Mus musculus: one gene and its partner. The main gene of each other region encodes a partner of the protein of the gene in region 2 in a complex. Links are inferred from orthologs where the notes say so. Each region holds a gene or a part of one and is shown on either strand. Other genes may lie near its edges. The genes, in order: Polr2c and Ercc2.

What was found.
Region 1: Ercc2 (region 2) and Polr2c share a complex: the UniProt entries of both Homo sapiens proteins name them as parts of the TBP-based Pol II pre-initiation complex. The link is inferred for Mus musculus from reciprocal best matches to the Homo sapiens genes ERCC2 and POLR2C.

Annotation. Positions count from the first base shown.
Region 1 is NC_000074.6:94,855,742-94,860,263, reverse strand, and holds the start of Polr2c (DNA-directed RNA polymerase II subunit RPB3), read right to left. Parts: upstream 2,815-4,522; 5' UTR 2,709-2,814; coding exon 2,623-2,708; intron 2,518-2,622; coding exon 2,468-2,517; intron 21-2,467; coding exon 1-20. UniProt on the Homo sapiens protein: Core component of RNA polymerase II (Pol II), a DNA-dependent RNA polymerase which synthesizes mRNA precursors and many functional non-coding RNAs using the four ribonucleoside triphosphates as substrates.
Region 2 is NC_000073.6:19,380,851-19,385,092, reverse strand, and holds the start of Ercc2 (general transcription and DNA repair factor IIH helicase subunit XPD), read right to left. Parts: upstream 3,077-4,242; 5' UTR 3,039-3,076; coding exon 3,034-3,038; intron 2,815-3,033; coding exon 2,715-2,814; intron 1,150-2,714; coding exon 1,072-1,149; intron 995-1,071; coding exon 932-994; intron 792-931; coding exon 678-791; intron 1-677. UniProt on the Homo sapiens protein: ATP-dependent 5'-3' DNA helicase. Component of the general transcription and DNA repair factor IIH (TFIIH) core complex, not absolutely essential for minimal transcription in vitro.

The DNA of each region.
Region 1 (4,522 bases), on a different chromosome or scaffold from region 2:
AATCTGAACCCAGTCGATGGCTGGAAAAGGCAGCAACAAAACAGGGTAAGTGAGGACTAGTCACCAGACACATCTACAGACCTGCAGCAGCACTGTCTCCACTCTGCCCGGCGCTCAGGGAGCAGAGCCAGCGCCTGGTCTACAAAGTGAGTTCCAGGACAGCCAGGGCTACACAGAGAAACATTGTCTCAAAAAACAAAACAAACAAACAAAACCCAACCAAACAAAAACAAAAATTAAAAAAAAAAAAAAAAAAAAAAAAGCAAGCAAGCAAGCAAGCAAGCATCAATTCAGCTTACAAAGTTGAAGGTGTCCTGACCAGGCTGCAAGAGGCTCAAAGTGACTTCAAAGTGATGGCTCCAGGTTCAGGCATCCCACACGCCATACATAACACCTTCCTGCCCCAGTGGGGGATGGGCCTTGCTAGTGATACACCACACATGCATGCACATACTCTCTCTTAGAGCTTTTTGGGATATTTAAGGAGTTGAATACTTATCTAAGGATTACTTTAAATCTGCTACCTGTGCCAATCCCAAACCCAAGAACGAAAGCTATCTGGACACCATGGGCTGGAGGGATGGCTCCGCAGTTCTGAGGTTCCTGGCACCCATGTCAGGCAGCTCACAACCCCTGTAACTCCAACTCCAGGGGCATCTGAGACCCCTGGCCACCTCCAGCCCCTGCATTCACTGGTAAACACCCACACACAGAGACACAATTTTAAAAACTTAAAAGTCAGGGAAAACATCACAACAGCAAAACATCCCAAGTTTCAGGGCCCACACCTCGTTTGTGATATAACCAGATAGCCCACTTGGAATTTCAGTGTTCCTCTCATCAGTAGATGTTCACTGGACAGCTTCACCAGGGAAAGCCCACTAACAATAGAACCCAATCCCCCCCCAGGCACTGCTGGGCAAATGGGGCTGTAGCATACAGATGCTGCACTTAAGCATGTGTCTAGTCACCCATCAGCAAACACCTGCATGTAAACAATAATGTTCAGAAATCAGTGGTGTTGGAAACCCAGTTCTCAAGGAGCTGATGTAGGCCAGGAAGAGGCCGGAAGACCAGCTGAGGATAGGCCCAACCTGCCCTTCACCGCAGTGCTTCCTCAACTCAAGCAAGGACCAAGCTTCCTGATGATTTACTTCTGGGGCCCATTGAATGCCCTTAATCTACTTCCACCATTCCCATTCCCCGACCCCTGGTGGGAATTCCCCATCTCAGAAAACCTCGAGTGTCCATGTTTACAAACGCTCCACTCCCTTTTGGCCTCCTTCCTCTCTCAAAACAAACAAACAAACAAACGATAAAACTGGTCAGATTCTCCTGAAGGTGTCATATTTTGCCTTGTTATGTTTGCTCATGTCTTGTCTCTAACTGAAAACGTACATGATTTACATATGCAGCAGAAATAAGAAATTCATTTTTAAAAAGACACCAGGATGGATTTAAAAAAACAAAAAACCGAAGTCTGTCTGTCTGTCTGTCTCTCTCTCACACACACACACACACACACACACACACTTCAACAATAAGGAACAAAAGTATGTTGTTTGTTAAAGAAAATCTTAAGCCGGGCAGTGGTGGTGCACGCCTTTAATCCCAGCTCTTGGGAGGCAGAGGCAGAGGCAGGCAGATTTCTGAGTTCCAGGCCAGCCTGGTCTACAAAGTGAGTTCCAGGACAGCCAGGGCTACACAGAGAAACCCTGTCTTGAAAAACAAACAAACAAACAAAATTAGAAAATCTTTATAACACATGCTTTCTCTCATGTGGAATCTCTCTCTTTTTCTCTTTCTCTCTTTAATAAAGAGAAAGTTCGGAGCCTGCAAGATGTGCAAGATACTTTTTGTTGTCAAGCCTTAAGGAGTTCAATCCTGGGCCCCATATGGTGGGAGAAGAGAATCCCTCCTACAAGCTGTACTCTGACCTCTACACATGAACTCCGGTACTCGAGCCCAGAGATAGACACATATATGTAAATAAAGGTTTTCAAAAAGATAGGGGGAGACGACAAGAAAGTATAGCAGGGTACTATCTGGAAGGATGGGAGAGACCAGGTACACTCTGTGTGTGTAGATTTCAAACTACATAACGAAGCCCATGATTTTGTAAAATCAGCATATATGTTCAAAAGACACCAGCCAGTAGCGAACACTGACGTCAAAGCAAAAGCGCATCATCTACACTACTTCGGCAATCGCTGCATCACCTGCTAACGACGCCTAGCATCTACACCGCCCGGATGAGGAGGCTGCAGCCCTCCGCTGTTTAACAGTGCTTGGTTTTGATTTCTGTTGCTTTGGGGTAGACGAACAGTACTGGGAAACCCGCAGCTGAGCAAGGCACGCACCAAGGCGGGCCTAGGCTGCCCCAGCCCAGCGTACAGCACCGCAGTGTTCTCAGCCCCCACCCCGGGCGGAGGGTGGGCGGCACGGGCTCCCAGGGACGGTCGCTTACCTATTATGGGCACCTCTGCGATGAAGACCCTCCGAATGGAATTGGCCACCCTACAGGAGGAAAGACAGGCGGTGTGAGCGGCCCCGAAGCCACAGCCCCGGGGTCAGGAGCTCGAGGACCCGGCCGCCCGCCCGCCTCTCCCCTCGCCGCCTTACGCCAGGTCCGTGTTCTCGATAATGAACTTGACGTTCTCTTCGGTGAGTTCCGTGATCCGCACTGTTGGCTGGTTGGCGTACGGCATCGCGACCCTCCGCCAGGCTCCCGCGCCAGCCGCACAGCGCGCCTGCGCGGCCACCAGCAGTTTGTCGGCGGGGCAATCGGCGCTTCCGGCTAGTCGCGGGCGCAGCGCCACCTGCTGACCGGAGGCCGGAACTCTCCTGGCCTGTGTTTTCTAACCACACCGGCGCCAAAATGCATTGGTCCTATACTCTTGAAATCCCCAAGATATACAGCACAAAAATTAAATGTACAGGGTCATTCATGCCAACGTTATTTATAACTGCTAAAAATAACGCATTAGGCAATGATCGATAGAGACTTGGTTAAACTTACATACGGGGCTGGAGATACGGCATTGGGGATAAGAGCACTGGCTGTTCTTATGTAAGACTTGGATTGTATTCCCAGCACCCATATGATGCCTAACATCTTTAGCTTCAGTTTCTGAGGAAACTCTCTCCTGGTATCTGAGGGCACCAGGTATTCACATGGTGCACAAATATACATGCAAGCAAAACATCCTTATACATAAAAATAATTTTTAAAATACATAGGAATACAATGAAACCTTAAAAAAAACCATTAAAAAGTTGTACATCTATACATGAACAAAATGGCTAGGGAGGTGACTCAAGCATGCAAGACGACTGATAGGTTATTTCTCTGCTGGTAAAATGAGCCAATTCAAGACAGATTAGAATATATTAAAAGGCAGGTTTATTGGGAAGCTGCTCTCAGGTGAGTTCACTGGCCTTAAGAACAGAGGCCGGGGAACCGCCATGGGAAGGGCAGAGAGGGAGAAGAGAAAGGGCCTGGGGCAGGGGGAGGGAGATAGATCGATCCAGAGAGCAAGAGCAAAATGTCTGGATTCTATAGGGAAGAACCTCTTGGGGAAGGGCAGCCCAGCCTCTGGGCTGGAAAGTTCAGGGTGGAGGCAGAGCATGCCAGGTGGGGACTGAAGGATGCTGGGAGAACCTGGAGGCCAGGTCTGCTTTGACGGGTAAAATATGCACCTCAGTCACTTGTTCCAGGGTGCGAAGCCAAACCCTGATGTGCAAGGACACAAGGTCAAATTCTCAGAACACCTGTAAAGAGGCATGGTAATGCAAGAGTCTAATCTTAGGCTCCTGTGAGTAGGAAGATGGAGAGAAGAATCCCCTGGATGCTCTCAGGACAGTTAGATAACACACAAAGAAGCAAACAAGAGACCCACATCCGAGCTAATGTCAGAGAGAGTACTGTAATGCATACACAAGAAAAACAAAACCCATGTTTTTTTGTTTGTTTGTTTTTGTTTTTGTTTTTCAAGACAGGGTTTCTCTGTATAGCTCTGGCTGTCCTGGAACTCACTTTGTAGACCAGGCTGGCCTCGAACTCAGAAATCCGCCTGCCTCTGCCTCTGCCTCCCAAGTGCTGGGATTAAAGGTGTGTGCCACCACGCCTGGCTTTTTTTAAAATTTTTTTTTAAATGTATTTCTATTTTATATGTGTATGTATGTAATGGTACCAATACATCACGTGTGTGGAAGGATGCCAGGCCTGACTGCAAGTGCTCTTACCCACTGAGCCACCTCAAAGGTCCCCAACGTATACTCAACAATGTCCATATGTGTTAGACGATACACACTTTCCCTTCTACTCTTGATCGTGTGATGTTCTTCTGAAGTAGATACAATGCTCTCCACTTCTACAGATCTGTGTAGTTGCAGCTGAGGAGTTTAAATGGGCCTCTAAAAAGTGGCAGCTGTTCACACAGAGAAAAGAGGCCCTTAAACGGAACCCTGAAGGAACTACATTTAGAGGGCAGAGTTACCAGAGAATAAAGAGTTGCTGTAA
Region 2 (4,242 bases):
GGTAGGGAGAGTGCTTGCTAGCACACACAAGGCTGTATGGACAATCCATATCACAGAGAACCAGCCAAGCAGAGGGCCAGCTGGATGGTTCAGTGAATGCGGATGTCTACCGCCAAGCCCGACAGCCTGATTTCAACCTGGGACCACACAGTGAAGAGAGAACAGACTCCCAAAGCTGTCCTCTGACCGCCACGTGCACACACATACACACAAACATGTAAGGTTTTAAAAAACAAGTGCCTCAATTTCTCTCCAAACAAACAAAAAAACCCCAAACAGAAAACAACGATCCCTGAGTGGCCTTTCTCTGCAAGCACTTGGCTCAGCAGGGCTTTGGTTCCCTGATGTGTGTGGGTTGTGGAATACCGGCATGAACATAATGGATACTGTCAGGCAGGACGTGAGGCTGTCATGAAATTATCTTATTTTGCCTGTATATAAAAATACCCAATCCTTTGAGTAAGCTACCATTTAGATTTTGACCTGTCACAGGTCAAATGTGTGAGTCTGAGGTGCCATGTGGAATGTAAGCAGTTTCTGATCCTGGTACAGGTGCTACCCTTAGCCATAAGGATGAGCATTGGCCTAACAACTGAGCAGCAAGCCCCACTCATACTGACAACGGGTTCCCTCTGGGGCTTGCATGGAGTGGCCCAGGGTGACAGCGCAGGGCTCACCTCGGGATGAATGCACAGGTTCTTTCTTGAGCTCAGAGCCAGTCCTAAGAACGGCAGCTTCTCGCCCTCCTGCTGCTCGTAGAAGCTGAGTAGCTTACGAAGCTCTTCTATGACCTGCTCAGATGATGGGAGCATTAGGTGGGGACCACAGGGCAAGCACAAGTCCTTGCCCACCGGGCTACCGAGGGCAGAGATGGGGGACCACCAAGGCCCAGGGGAGGGGGCAGAGCATGGGTCCCATCTGCATTGCCCACCTTCTCAATCTCTGGCACGGTCCGTGAGCAGTAGATAAGTTTGGTCACCTCCAGCGGATAAGCCTGTGGGTGACAGGGACCTCAGCCCCATCCAGCCCCACCCCTCAGCCCCCACTCCAGGCACTCAGAAGGCCACTCACCCGCTGATAGGCCACAATCAGGGCCAATAGGGACACTGTCTTCCCAGTGCCCGAGGGCATCTCCAGGACTCCATGACCCTGAAAATTGGGCACAGAAGTAGTAAGACACAGGCTCTCTGTCATCAACGTACGCTCTGGGGAACTCTCCTTGACATGCCACCACCCGGGAACAGCAAGGCAACACACACAGCAGTGGCATCGCTGTCAAGGCCCCAGGACTGATAGTCTCCGCTCCTCCTCTTCTGCTGGACTTTTAATTGTTAATTCTTATTCCTCACCCGCCTACCCCAAAGGATCTTGCTATGCAGGCCTAGTAGTTACTAAGAATCTCTGGCTGGCTTTGAACTTTTGGCAATCCTGTTGCCTCTACTTTGAGTACTGGGACTGCAGGCTGAACCCTATTTCTGTGGCCCTCTTACTGACACAGCTAATGAGTTTACTGAGCAGCAGACAGTAGGAACCTTTTACCTCTCAGGATCACAGCATTCTTGCTTCTAAGTAGCTCCATAAACCTTACTTGGAACAAGGTTGTGAGGGCTAATACATTGGTGGGCCAGCAATATGGCTTAGCGGGTAAAGGTGCTTGTGGCCAAGCCTGATCACCCGAGTTCAATCCCCAAGACATACACGGAAGGAAAGAACCAACTCTACCCTCACGTGCACACTGTAGCATGTATACACACATTGGAAATAAGTATACCTAAAAGAAAACTTTTTTTAAAAAGTTTGTGTTCAGGGCTGTTGAAATAGCTCAGCAGGTAAAGGCGATTGCTATCAAACCTAACAGCCTGAATTTGATCCCTAGAACCCACATAAAATGATAAGAAATCTGGGTGGTGTTGGCCTATGCCTTTAATCACAGCACTCAGGAGGCAGAGGCAGGTGGATCTTTTGGGACTTTGAGGCCTGCCTGGTCTATGAAACAAGTTCCAGGACAGCAAAAATCACACAGAGAAACCCTGTCTCAGAAAACACAACGAGGGACTGGAGAGATGGCTGAGCAGTTAAGAGCACTGGCTGCTTGCTCTTCCAGAGGTCCTGAGTTCAAATCCCAGCAACCACATGAAGGCTCACAACCATCTGTACAGCTACAGTGTACTCACATACATAAAACAAATAAATCTACAACAAAACAAAACCGAAATAGAAGTGGAAGGAAAAACCCAACTCCACAAAGTTGTCCTCTGACCTCCACATACGGAACCCCTTCTTCCCTCCACTATTGTCACTACCAGGAATACCTCCAGAGTTTTCCTATACATAGCCCTAGCTAGCCCGAAACTCACTATGAAACCCAGACTGTACTTCAAACTCGAGCAATCTGTCCTCAGCCACCCTGTCTCTAGAATTACAGGCATAATTGTAATTACTATCAGTCAGTTTATGCGGTGCCAGGATGGAACCCAGAGTTTCACCCCTGCTAGCTAGGCTAGCACCCTACCAACTGAGCGACATTCCTCGCCTTGTTATTTACAATTGTTGTTAGTACACGGTCTCGCTGTGTAGCCCCGGCTGGCCTCCAAAATCGCAGCGATGCTCCTGCCTGGGTCTTCCGGGTGCTGGGATAGCAAGGCCCGGGCCCCGACCAGGACGTTTGCCTGCCAGAGGCATCAGAATGCAAGGAGGGCAGCCTCGCCACCCACCTTGGCGTCCAGCGTGCGCTTGAGCTCCAGCATGTAGGAGAACTGCTCCGGGTAGATGTAGTCGTACGGGAAGTAGACCAGCAGCCCGTCCACGTTGAGCCTGGCGGCGGTGAGGCGTCGGTGCCCGGTGCTCTCGAGCCGCCTCGGCCTCCGCTCCGCCCGCCCGCCCGCCCTCGTGGCGTCTCGCCGCCAGGGACCCCGAAGCCACCCGGACCGGTCTCCGCAGCCTCTCCACGCCGCGCCCCAGCCCCGGCGACGCCCACCCGCCGCCCCATTGCCCACCGCAGAGCCGCCCGCTCTTTCAGAGACCCCATCTCACTTCATGGCGGCTGATCGCGGCGTCCACACGCCCGCTCCTGAATATTCAACGAGGGGGCGTGACCCAGAGACACACCTTCCTCGGGACGCCATTGGCCGAGTCCTCCCGTCACTCTGCCAATCGGAAAATTGGCGCGTGCGCATGGCGGTGAGAGGGCGGACTTCGGAGAGAAGTGGTGCCCGAGGCATCGCTGAGGATCGCCGAGGACTTCGAGCAGAACACAGAAAGAAGAGAGTCGAGAGAATCGATAGAGTTCATTGCTGCTTCGCTCCTCCAGGTTCTGTTCTGGTTGTCCAAGTCGTGAAAATAGTGTTTAAGAGAGAATAACAGAGAAATTGGAGACCGTCTTGATTTTTTTGTTTTTCGGGTGTTTTTTTTTGTTTTTTTGTTTGTTTTTTCGAGACAAGGTTTCTCTGTGTAGCCCTGGCTGTCCTGGAACTCACTCTGTAGTACAGGCTGGCCTCGAACTCAGAAATCCACCTGCCTCTGCTTCCCACCACTGCCCTGCCTAGCACGTGTTTTTAAGCATTTATTAATATGGGTTGGAAAGATGGCTCAGACGTTAAAGCATAGGTCACAAACAAACAAAACTTCATTAATTAAGGGCCTGGAGGAATCACTCAGTAGTTAAAAGCACTTTCTGATTTTGAAGAGGAGCAGGGTTCCCAGCCGCCCCACTCTCCACTCCCACCCCCCAAATCAGGCAGCTTATGATCGATCACCTTTAGGGCTAGCTCCATGGAATCCAATACCTCTGGCCTGTGGAAGGAAGAGGAAACCTGCAGAATTTGGTTCAGTCCTTTCCTTCCACTATGTGTGGGAATCGAACTCAGGTCAAAAGGCCTGTACCTCATGAGCCATCTCATGAGGTACAGGCCTCAGTAGACAGTCGTACTATGTAACCCAAGCTGGTCCGGAGCTCACTCTATAGCCTGGGTGGCTGGCCCCAGCTTGTGGCTAACCCACCTGAGGGCTGGACAATGCTGTCAGTTATTTCATATCTCTGGATTCTTGCTCAAATATCACCTTTTAGTCCTTCCTCCCTTCATTTCATCCTTTCTTTTCTTTCTTTTTTTTTTTAAGATTTATTTGTTATATATAAGTACATTGTAGCTGTTTTCAGATATACCAGAAGGGGGTATCCAATCTCATTACTGATGGTTGTGAGCCACCATGTGGTTGCTGGGATTTGAATTCAGGACCTTTGGA